Oryctolagus cuniculus: one gene and its partners. The protein of the gene in region 1 purifies or fractionates together with the protein of each later gene. This does not show direct contact. Links are inferred from orthologs where the notes say so. Each region holds a gene or a part of one and is shown in the gene's direction. Other genes may lie near its edges.

The links.
Region 2: the proteins of ITSN1 (region 1) and EPS15L1 purify together in Homo sapiens (affinity purification with mass spectrometry; 4 studies listed by BioGRID and IntAct, with this or other methods). This does not show direct contact. The link is inferred for Oryctolagus cuniculus from reciprocal best matches to the Homo sapiens genes ITSN1 and EPS15L1.
Region 3: the proteins of ITSN1 (region 1) and EPS15 purify together in Homo sapiens (co-immunoprecipitation; 3 studies listed by BioGRID and IntAct, with this or other methods). This does not show direct contact. The link is inferred for Oryctolagus cuniculus from reciprocal best matches to the Homo sapiens genes ITSN1 and EPS15.

Annotation. Positions count from the first base shown.
Region 1 is NC_091435.1:11,143,039-11,146,680, reverse strand, and holds part of ITSN1 (intersectin-1), read left to right. Parts: intron 1-43; coding exon 44-126; intron 127-357; coding exon 358-441; intron 442-747; coding exon 748-921; intron 922-2,935; coding exon 2,936-3,084; 3' UTR 3,085-3,642. UniProt on the Homo sapiens protein: Adapter protein that provides a link between the endocytic membrane traffic and the actin assembly machinery. Acts as a guanine nucleotide exchange factor (GEF) for CDC42, and thereby stimulates actin nucleation mediated by WASL and the ARP2/3 complex.
Region 2 is NC_091447.1:64,836,303-64,839,944, reverse strand, and holds part of EPS15L1 (epidermal growth factor receptor substrate 15-like 1), read left to right. Parts: intron 1-2,043; coding exon 2,044-2,169; intron 2,170-3,642.
Region 3 is NC_091438.1:121,418,420-121,422,503, forward strand, and holds the start of EPS15 (epidermal growth factor receptor substrate 15), read left to right. Parts: upstream 1-1,266; 5' UTR 1,267-1,368; coding exon 1,369-1,401; intron 1,402-2,998; exon of another isoform or gene 2,999-3,063; intron 3,064-4,084. UniProt on the Homo sapiens protein: Involved in cell growth regulation. May be involved in the regulation of mitogenic signals and control of cell proliferation. Involved in the internalization of ligand-inducible receptors of the receptor tyrosine kinase (RTK) type, in particular EGFR.

The DNA of each region.
Region 1 (3,642 bases):
CTTCCTGTGTTGTTTGGCAACTTTGTGTCTTTTCCCGCTCAAGGACCGCCTGGGTGCAGAAGATCAAAGCTGCCTCTGAACTCTACATAGAGACGGAGAAGAAGAAGCGGGAGAAGGCTTACCTGGGTAACTCCCGCGGGCCGGGCTCTGGCCACGCTGCCGTGGGGCAGCCGTTTGGCCAGGCTCAGATCCCTTAGAGCTGGGACAGGCTCCTGGGGGCAGCGGGGAGGTCGTGAGATGGCTGGGCACAGGGTGCAGGCTGGGATGCTGGAGCACGGGTGGAGGGCGGGGCAGGTGTCCAGGCTAAGGGTGAAGCATCTGTGCATCTGTGCTATGTTTTTCCCTCTGCTGTTCCAGTGCGGTCCCAGAGGGCAACGGGCATTGGAAGGCTGATGGTGAACGTGGTAGAGGGCATTGAGCTGAAGCCCTGCCGGTCACACGGTGAGGACCTGCGCGGCCCCGGTGGCCCATGCGGCTGTTGCAGTCTTCCCTGGAGCTGTTCGCTCTGCTGTCCGGGAAGGTCCGCGTGGCTGCATTCACACCCAGTGGCTGTGGCACACTCGGAGCCTGCCTGGGAGGGCTCTGGTTCGTAAGCCCATGGATGCCCTGGTCGGTTCCCTGTCTGAAGCGTGGTGCTGAATTGTGTGTTTTCGCCCAGCTTCTCCATGTGAGGCCACGTAGGCCGCGTGGTGATGGAGCGGGATGAGTTGTGGCTCCCGCCCTGGTGAAGGGTTTTGTGCCTTCCAGGAAAGAGCAACCCCTACTGCGAGGTGACCATGGGCTCCCAGTGCCACATCACCAAGACGATCCAGGACACCCTGAACCCCAAGTGGAATTCCAACTGCCAGTTCTTCATCAGAGACCTGGAGCAGGAAGTCCTGTGCATCACCGTGTTCGAGAGGGACCAGTTCTCACCCGATGGTGAGTCGCGGGCGTGCCTCATAGCTCGCTGCTCCTTCCCCATCACTCAGCCTGTGCGGGCGGACGCCTCCTCTCCTGGGGATGCGATGCCCAGAGTGGCTTGGATTTCTCTCTCAAATGATGAGGCTGGCCCAAGATAAGGCTTTCATGCACAGCAGGTGCAGCCCGGTGCACAGACACAGTGTCCTTGTCTTGGATTTGCGTCACAGTCTTGGGCTGTCCAGAGCAGGTAGCTGCCAACAGGGGTGTACCTAGGAGTTTCAGTGTAGTTCTGTCATCCCTGGCACAAAGCCACGCTGATACGGAGCGGCTGGCACTTGGCGCTGTGGTGGTGATGTCACTTGGGACACCCACGTCCCATACTGGAGTGCCTGGTTCAAGGCCCAGCTCCTCTACTTCTGATCCGTCTTCTTGCCACTATGCAACCTGAGAGGCGGCAGAGGGTGGCTCAAGGACTTGGGTCCCTGCCACCCATGTGAGAGACCCAGATGGAGCTGCTGGCTTAGCCCTGGCTGCTGCAGGCATTTGGGGAGTGAACTAGTGGGTGGAAGCTCGCTCTCTCTCTCTGTCTCTCTTTCTGGCTGACTCTCTGTGTCTCCATGCATTTCAAATAAAATAAGAATATTTAATTTTTATTATTTTAAAACTGGCCAATGCTAATGGAGCAGAAGAGCCCATGACCATGGCAGTAGAAGCAATCTGTGCCCTTTTGGAAGGCACGGCTGCTTGGGCAAGGGGTTGCTTGAGCAAAATTGTGTTGGTTGCATCATTCTTTTAGCCAGCGTCTGTGCCTGCTTTACAATGGTCTCTGACCAGAGATTCTAAGAAACTGTCGCTCTCTGCCTCAACCCCATAGAAATTAGAGATTAAGCTTAAAGATTATGGCCTCAACTTGACTGTGAAGAAATACAAGTAACGAGAGTGAGGGCTTGGCTGGCGCCGCGGCTCACTAGGCTAATCCTCTGCCTGCGGCGCCGGCACACCGGGTTCTAGTCCTGGTTGGGGCGTCAGGTTCTGTCCCGGTTGCCCCTCTTCCTGTCCAGCTCTCTGCTGTGGCCCGGGAGGGCAGTGGAGGATGGCCCAAGTCCTTGGGCCCTGCACCCGCATGGGAGACCAGGAGAAGCACCTGGCTCCTGGCTTCAGATGGGTGCAGTGCGCTGGCCACTTGGTGGGTGAACCAACGGAGTAAGACCTTTCTCTCTGTCTCTCTGTGTTTCTCTCACTGTCTAACTCTGCCTGTCAAAAAAAAAAAAAAAAAAAAAAAAAAGAGTGAGGGCTTTAGGGCAGTGTTACCCCCTCAAGATTTAAAGGGCTCCATGCAGCCTTCCTCTCCTACTACCTTGTGTGAATTAGCTCATTGTGAGTTAGGTGCTGTTGGTTTTGGCCTAAAGATAGTCACAGAGCTGGTTAAATATTAATCATGTGGCCAGAACTCTCTGCCTCCCAAGTCAAGGCTCTTAACTTTTTTTTTTTTTTAAGATTTATTTATTTATTTGAAAGTCAGAGTTACACACAGAGAGAAGGAGAGGCAGAGAGAGAGAGAGGTCTTCCATCCGCTGGTTCACTCCCCAATTGGCTGCAACAGCCGGAGCTGCACCGATCTGAAACCAGGAACCAGGAGCTTCTCTGGGTCTCGCACACAGGGGCAGGGGCCCAAGGACTTGGCCCATCTTCTACTGCTTTCCCAGGCCATAGCAGAGATCAGAAGAGGAGCAGCCAGGACTTGAACTTGTGCCCATTTGGGATGCCGGCACTGCAGGCGGTGGCTTTACCTGCTTTGCCACAGCGCTGGCCCCAGGGCTCTTTATTCTGTTAAGTGGAAGCTTTTTGTTTGCTGCTGTTATATTAAAAATAATGACACATCGCAGGGAATAAGGTGGAGACCCCAGTGTTGGGCCTACCTAGCGCTCAGAGCGGAAGGAAGGCATAGCTTCTCTCGAGGAGACTGCGATGGCGGGTGCGCGCCTGGAGGAGAAGGGATTCTTGTGAGCACGGTGTGTTTGTCTCCTTTCAGATTTCTTGGGTCGAACAGAGATCCGTGTGGCTGACATCAAGAAAGACCAGGGCTCCAAGGGGCCAGTTACAAAGTGTCTCCTGCTGCACGAAGTCCCCACAGGAGAGATTGTGGTCCGCTTGGACTTACAGTTGTTTGATGAGCCGTAGGGAGCGGCTCAGCACGTGCTCGGAGGAGCTCCCACCTGAGGCAGCAGGTGCTGTCTGGCATTTGTGTTCCTTCGCTCGGCATCCCTGGCGTTCAGCCACAGGGCAATGGGACAGCAAAGACAGGCCCCCAGAGCGTCTAGGAATCCTTGACAATCCTGCCCCCACCCCAAACAACCTCTCCTGTTATGAAACGAGACTGTGTCTTCCTTGCCCCTCACCGCAGGTGTCATCATGGTTTCTAGGGTCTCTGAACTCCCAGAGCCCCCAGCTAACCTCAGCTGGGAGTCTGGCTCCGCCCAGGCTCTGGGCCCGGGTCTGATGATTAGAAATCAGATTTCTACATGCGGTGTCTGTATTTTTTTTTTTTTTTTTTGAGAACTCATGTAATCCTCTTATTTCTTACCTTCCTGCTGCCCCCAGTAGACTCCTTGGCCTGCAATGCCCAGTCCCCGGATGTTTAGAAACAATCGTGATGGTCCTGTCATTGCTTTGAAATCCCATTGCCCACCAGGGAGATGCTATGATGGTCTCACGGGAGCTGACCCACCCATGGGAGAT
Region 2 (3,642 bases), on another chromosome or scaffold:
GTTAATCAAACATGAGGGCCTAGCCCCTCCCCAGCCCCACTCCCACGTTCTTGGGCCTTCCTTCCTGGCGCTGTGTGCTTTGTGGAAAGCTTCGCGGTGCATCCGTTCTTGTTTGTGTGGCTGCAGTCGGGTTCCTCTTCTAGAACGAGAAGAGCAGCGTCTGCTGGAAAGTGCAGAGCTATCCTGGAGGGACGAGCCCCTCGCCCCGCCCCTCGTGTTCAGGGGCCGGCGCAGGCCCTGGTGCCTGTTGGGCTTCGCTGTGGTTGTGAAATACAGAGGCACCTCCCCCTCTCCCCCAGGCCCTTGGTTCTCACCTCAGAAAGCCCGTGGGGTGGGTGGTGGTGACATCTGTGCAGGGAGGGGGTGGGAAGAGAGTTTGGTTTCCTGGGGCCGAGGCGTCATGAGCAGCCTCCGTGCAGGCCCTGGGCCAGCGGTGACCACCACACTGCCGCGTGGCTTCCTCTCGCGGTGGTCCAGCCTCGCAGTGTGGACTCTGCAGAACGCCTTTTGCCAGATCCTGCTCCTGCAGGCGTCCGGTCCTTTCCTGGCAGGGGCTTTGAGGCCTTGCAGAGATGAGCCGGGGACCCCGGCTGGGCAGTGGGGGTGCTGTTGGGAGAAAGCGTTGGCATTCCGCTCACCCATGAAGGCCGTGCAGAAAGCAGCCTAGCTGCCAGGCGCCGGCCTCTGCGGCCAGCATTCCTGGGCTGCTCGGAGCGCTGAGTCAGCACGTCGGGTGGGTGGGGGGAGCCCGGCACCCCCCCATGCTCTTGTTTCTGTTGTTTTTTCTTTTTTTTACTCTCTCTCCTTGAAAATGTTTTAGTTCTGGTTAGATATTTATAACATGAAATGTACCTTCTCAATCCTTTAAGAAAATTTTTAGAAATTAATTTTGTTGATTTGAAAGGCAAAGAAGCAGAGAGAGGGAGACCTTTTTCCCCTGCTAGGGCTGGGCCAGGTTGAGGCCAGGAGCCAGGAGCTCCATCTGGGTCTCCCACAGAGGTGCAGGGACCCAAGTCCTTGAGCCGTCACCTGCTGTACCCCGGGGTACAGATTAGCAGGGAGCTGGAATGAGCGTGGAGTCAGACCCCAGCGCAGGCATTCCGAGAGGGCTGCCTGTTAACCGTCAGCGCCGCCTTTTTGTACAACCCCCCCATCCCTTTCCAGAAACTTCTCACCTTGCACAGGTGAAACTCTGCACCCATGAAATGCTCACTCCCACTCACCTCTACCCCCGCGCCCCTGTTCTGCTTGTGTCTTTGTGGGTGTGACCACCGTGGGGGTCTCAGGAAGTGGGTCCTCCTGTATTTGGCCTCTTGTGACCAGCTGAGTTGATTGAGCACATTGCCCCTGAGGTTCATCCACATCGTGGCAGGTCTGTAGAACCTTCCAGAGTGGGGGTGGGCCGCGCTGTATTTCCGTGCTCGCCAGCTGGATGCTCACTGTAGGGGTTTTCTACACTTGACCTTAGCCTTGGCGATTGTAGGGGTTTTCTCAGCACCGCCAGCGGCCAGTGTCTGCCGCGCTCTCTGCTCTCCCTCAGTCCACCTGCCCAGGGCCTCACTTCCATCCGAGGGTACACTGGTGTCTGCTCCCAGGCCCTTGTGGCCAGCAGCCCATGCACTCCCTGCAGCTGCTGTTTCAGTCTGTATGTCCCTTTGATTGTTATGATTTTACTCTTAGAGGCAGGGGGCCTCCTGCAGTTGGCTTTGATAATTATCTGCTTTTGTCTTTCTTATTGTGGTGAGCTCTTTGGAGGTGGTCTCCCTGGAAAGATAGCTCCCCTCCCCCCAGGGAGGCCCCAGCGCACTCAGCAGGCCTGGGCCAGCTCCTGCTCCTGCTCCTCTGAGGTTGTCTGAGGGCTGTTTCCTTCAAGGTCAGAGTTCACTCTGGAGCCCAAGGGCCCAGACTGCTCTAAGAGCACCGTGTGCTGTGGCCGCGGGCCAGGGCCGGTGCCGGGCTGCTTTCTCAGCTTTGGGTCAGGGCTGCACATGGACCTGTGTACTGGCACACCTGTACTCACGCTGGCTCTTTCTGTCCAACCAGGTGGAAGAAAAGGCCAAGTTTGATGGAATTTTTGAAAGCCTCTTACCTATCAATGGTTTGCTCTCTGGAGACAAGGTCAAGCCAGTCCTCATGAACTCTAAGCTACCTCTTGACGTCCTGGGCAGGGTAGGTGGCCGTGGGGTCCGTGCCTTCATGTCTGCTCCACCGCCATGCCGGGTCATCACTGTTCTCCCTCCCCAAGGACACTCTCCAGGCCCTGGCTTGGTGCCCAGCCTGGAGCCCCTAGGGCTTCCTGAGTGCAGGGGGATCCAGCACTTGCTACAGCCAGGCTGGCCCAGGGCCACATGAGGTCCAGTCCCGGGGGAAGGCACAGGAGCACGCCCACTTCACAGGTGGGGAGGCAGGCTCAGAATTGAAACCGCGGTGGAGTCCCGGGGTGAGCAGAGCTGGGCCCGGAGCCCAGACCAGCGGCCCCTCCATTGTGCTCAGCGTGGGAGTTCTGTGTCTTCAATCCTTTTTCTTTTCTTTCCTGCTCTTTTTTTCCTTTTCTTTTCTTTTTTAAACTTGAGAGGCAGAGTGACCGAGATTGAGGGAGAGATCTTCTGCCTTGCCAGTTCACTCCCCAAATGTCTGCAACAGCCAGAGCTGAGACAGGCTGAAGCCAGGAGCCAGGAGCTCCACCCCTGTCTCCCATGTGTGTGGCAGGAACCCAAGTACTTGGGCCAATGTCTGCTGTCTCTCGAGCACATTAGCAGGGAGCTGGGTTGGTAATGGAAGATCCCGGACCTCAGTCTCTGGCACTCAGATGTGGAATGCCCACAATCTTTCCTATTTTTTTAAATTAACTAATTTATTTGAGAGACAGAGGTAGACACAGAGAGAGAGGTCTTCCATCCATTGGTTCACTCCCCAGATGGCTGCAGTGGCTGGAACTGCGCTGATCCGAAGCCAGGAGCCAGGAGCTTCTTCCGGGTTTCTGACGCATGTGCAGGAGCCCAAGGACCTGGGCCATTTTCTGCTGCTTTCCCAGGCCACAGCAGAGAGCTGGATTGGAAGTGGAGCCGCTGGGACTCAAATGGACACCATATGGGATGCCAGCGCTGCAGGAGGCAGCTTTAAGTGCTGTGCCACAGTGCTGCCCCCCCCCCTTTATTTATTTGACAGGTAGAGTTATAGACAGCGAGAGAGACAGAGAGAAAGGTCTTCCTTCCATTGGTTCACTCCCCAAATGGCCGCTACGGCCGGCGCTGCGCCGATCTGAAGCCAGGAGCCACGTGCTTCTTCCTGGTCTCCCATGTGGGTGCAGGGGCCCAAATACTTGGGCCAGCATCCACTGCCTTCCCAGGCCACAGCAGAGAGCTGGACTGGAAGAGGAGCAAACCGGGACTAGAACCCGGTGCCCATATAGGGTGCTGGCACCGCAGGCGGAGGATTAACCAAGTGAGCCACGACCCCTTTTTTCCTAGTTTTAACTACTTTTTCTTTTCTGCCTATACAGCTCAAGGTAGAAGAATTTTTTAACTCTGTGGCAAGTTTAGAAAGAATTTCGCACATTTCCTTTAAAAAAAAAGTGCTCAGGTGTGTTCCTGTGAAATGCAGGGTCTTCAGTTCTCAGGGTGGGGCTTGCCTCCCAGGGGA
Region 3 (4,084 bases), on another chromosome or scaffold:
TGAAGACAAGAATTTCAAGTAACTGGTTGGTTATTCCAACTGAAGGTAGCAGCATGAATAAGTGTACATAGGATGTGTTATGTTTAAACTAGGTAGAACTAAGGCCTTCACTGATCACTTACTACAATGCTATGATCTAAGGATGTAGAAATATATAAAAAAAGTCTTTGCCATTAAGGAGTTCTTAATTGAGAGGGGTAGGCAGGTATAAATACTCATTAGGGTGATGATGGCTTCATCAGGTAAAGAAGGAAGTTTAAAAAGGAGAGAGGGAGAGAGAGAGAGATGAATGTTGGGCCTGTTAGTTAAGCTGTTGATTAGGATACCTAATGCCACATGAAAGTGCCTGGGTTCAATTCCTGGCTTCTGATTCCAGCTTCCTGCTAATACAAACACTGGGATGTGATGGCTTAAGTAGTTGGTTATCTGCCACCCATATGGAAGTCCTGGATTGAGTTCCTGGCATCCCCAATCCCTACTTTGCAGGCCTTTGGAGAGTGAGCCAGCAGATCAGAGCGCTCTCTCTCTCTCTCTCTGCCTCTCAAGTAAATAAAAATTTTAAAAAATTAAATAAAAAAGGAGAGAGAAGGGACTTTGCAAAGGAGGCAATACTTGAGTGTGTCCTGGGAAAGGAGGAGGAGTTTGCCAGGTGGACTACGTACTGGAGCCGTGAGCAGTGCTGCAGGCACCTGAGCAATCCAAGTGTGACAGGCAGCAGGCTAGGAAAGCCCTCCTTTACCTAAGTAAACTTTGGCTCCGGAGGGAACGATTTTTTTTTTTCAATATAATGGCAGATGCTTAAACCAAAGAAGGCAGAAATCTAATCAGCTGCACGACCTCCTGGCAGGCACTGATGTGTGTTTTAGTTCACTCATTCATATAATTCAAAAATAAAGCATCTAGTACAGGGCCTGGCATATACAAAGTGCTATTATTTTGTATCTTTACCTCATTTCGTCCTCACAGGCAGCCCGGACCGCGGGTAATTTCTGCCATGATTCAAAAGCAGGAGCTCAGAGCGGGTAGGTGACCGGCCTGAGGGTCACAGGACAATCTGGATTCCCCTTCGCAGCCCGTCCGCTTTAATTTATCCGCGCCGGGTTTTCTCAGGCCGGCCCGGGGGCAGGCCGGCTCTGGTCCGGCGGCTCGCACTCCAGCGCCAGGGTTTGGGCGCCGCCGCGGCCTGCTCGGGCCGGCGGGCCGGCGGGCGGGGCCAGGCGGGGCGGGGCGGGCGTGAGGAGGGAAGTTGTCGAAGTTAGGGGAGACGCCCGCCCGGGCCTCGCCTACGGCCGCTCCCTCCGCCTCCTCCCCGCCCCGAGCCCCCGGCCGCCCGTCCTTCCTTCCCCTCCCGTGCATGATGGAAACACCATGGCTGCGGCAGCCCAGCTCTCCCTGACACAGGTAACGCCGCCCGCCCGCCTGTCCTCCGGGCTCGGCCGGCCGGTGTCCCCGGCCCCCTCCCCCACCGCCCTGCGCTGGGCCGACCCGGGCAGCGTCTCTCGGCTCTCGGGCCGGACGGCCGGTGTGTCAGAGCGAGAGCGTGCGTGTGACTGAGGGAGGACGCCATCCCGAGCCGGAGCTCCGCCGGCTGCAGCCGCGGCCCCGCCCCGGGTCGGTCGGCGCCCCCGGCCCCACCCGGTGCGGCCGCTGAGTGGACGGTGCCCCCAGCCGCGCTCAGCCGGCGCGGGCCTCGCTCGCTCCGCTCGGCTTTCCCCCACCCGGAAAGTTTCCTCCTCCCAGGCCAGGTGAGCTCCTGTGGAGCTCGCGCGGGGCAGCGCCAGCCCCGGGTCGCACGAGGCTCGCCCTCTGGGCCGGGCGGCGCGCCTCCCCGAGTTGGGGGGGGGGCCTTCCGCGGCCGGACGCTCAGCCTGTTCAGGGGCAGGCTCCCCTCGCTAACCTGCCTTTCCCCACCGGAGTTCAGCGAAAGCCCTCCTTTGCCTGGCACTTTCCTGCACTCGGCTTCGCTTTCAAACTCTTCTTAGCCTCCCTCTCAGCTTTGCTCGCTCTCTTCCTGGATTCAGCCTCTTCCCTCCTGATCTGGTGTCCTGGGTCAGACCCCCGACTCCGTCGTTCCCTACCCAAGCCGGCTTCCACTCACACCCGGGGGTTCTCCTGATCGCTGTCCGAGCGGATAACAGGGAGCCACCCAGTAACAGGTGTGGTGGTTCCGCCTGGCGGGGTGCTCAGACCTGCCTGGGAGATCACTTGTCCTGGGCGGAAATTTTCACCAAAACCTGTACTCTGGTCGTTCCTCTTGCCTTCTTGCTGCCTTCGGAGCCCAGTCCTTGTGCTTCACAGAAAATCTGAACATCATTCACCGTGGGAACCTAGTTTCTCCCTCTCTGTAAAGGAAGCCAATTATTATCTTCCTGTTGTGGCCAGAATGACGAGGTGACAGACACCTGTCAGTCCCTTCCTGCTCCTCTGTTCAAAACTGGCCCGGATCTCACCTCTGCCTGTTCTCTCCAGAGCTGGTAGCTGTGTGCTTGCCAGCAGGGCCCACCCCAGCCTTCCTGCCATCTTGCAGTCTCCTGGGCCTAGGTTTGTCTATGCATCACAGGCTTTAACACTGGGGTGAAGGTACATTTGGACAGTAAAGTTTTCTGTATTGGGATCCGGAGGCTTGGGGTGTTCTCCTTAGCACTCCCCAGAACCTGCAGTCAAACGTGAGTGTGTGAAGTAACTAACTTTAGCTTGCAGGAATTCTAGGTCTCATAAGTGACACTCATTGCCGACTTCTATCAGATGTTGGTTATTCTGTTTCTGCAGGTGATAACAGGGCAGACTTCTTTTACCACGGAGTGTGGTGGTTTAATCTTGAATCTCTGTGGGAGGGTCCTCCTGAAACTCAAATTCGAGGCCTGGAAACACTGACTTGGGGTGTTGACTTTCTGTGAGTCTAGTTAGTGACTTGCATTAAACAAGATCCCTTGTTGGCAAGCTGTTTTTTTTGTGACCGAGTTGGCCAATTCTGGCAAGGCTTTTTCTCCTCTTGCAGATTTTCTTCTTTGAGCAACTTCTGTAAAGTGGCTTCTCAGCTGTGTGCATTTATTCTCTCCCTGGGTAATACTGTGTTTTTAGTTTCTGTTTACTATGGTTCATCTCTAGGGGTTTGCTTCAAGCTCTGTCATTTTTATAGTCACTTAAATAAATCACATATGTTCTTATGGCTATATATTTAGGTATTTACTTGTGCACTGACTAAATACTGAATCAGTAATTACCCTTCAAGGTTTTACAAATGAGAGAACATATATTGGTGGCTGACATTGATAACTCAAATGTCAATTTAGAATGTTTTGATTTTTTAGATACTAAGATAGTATATTATAGAAGCAAAGGAAAGAAGAACCTAATTTGTTACTATTTCTCAATATGCCTCATTATTTCAAAGCTTGGCAGATATATAGTTTTTAAGTTTAAAAAATTAAATTAATTTTAGTGCTTTTTTTTAACTTTTTTTTTTTGAACTCAGTAACAGAGATATCAGTGTGACCTCGTTTTGCATTCATAATTGATTTGTTTTACATCACCCTCTGTTTCAACTCACATACTTAGATATAGGCATAGTCAAGTGAGAGAGCTTTCAGGGAAGGGACATTTTAAAATTCATCTGAGTGCCTACCTGGAAGAAAGCCATTAATATAGCTATTGTATGAGTGACTGAAAATTAGGAAGATTAAACAGATAATGAAGTTAGTTTTTGTCTCTGGTCATGAGATAGTGATGGCTTTGGAGTAGGTTAATTCATTCAACAAATATATATTTAAATTATCTTCTTTTTACTATTTCTTGAGAGACGCAGAGCTCTCACCTGCTGGTTCATTCCCCCAAGTGCCCACAACAGCCAGGGCTGGACTGAACCAAAGCGGGATCCAGGAACCCAATCCGAGTCTCCCACTTTGGGTCCCAGAGAGCAACCACTTAAGTCATCACCATGGGGAGGCCAGGAGCCACACTAGTGAGAGGCTGGAGTCAAGAGCTGGAGCTGGGTATTGAACCCAGGGACACTGATACGGGATGTAGGTGTCTTAACTGCTAGGCTAAATACTTGTCTCAACAAATATTTTTCTTTATTTTTCTT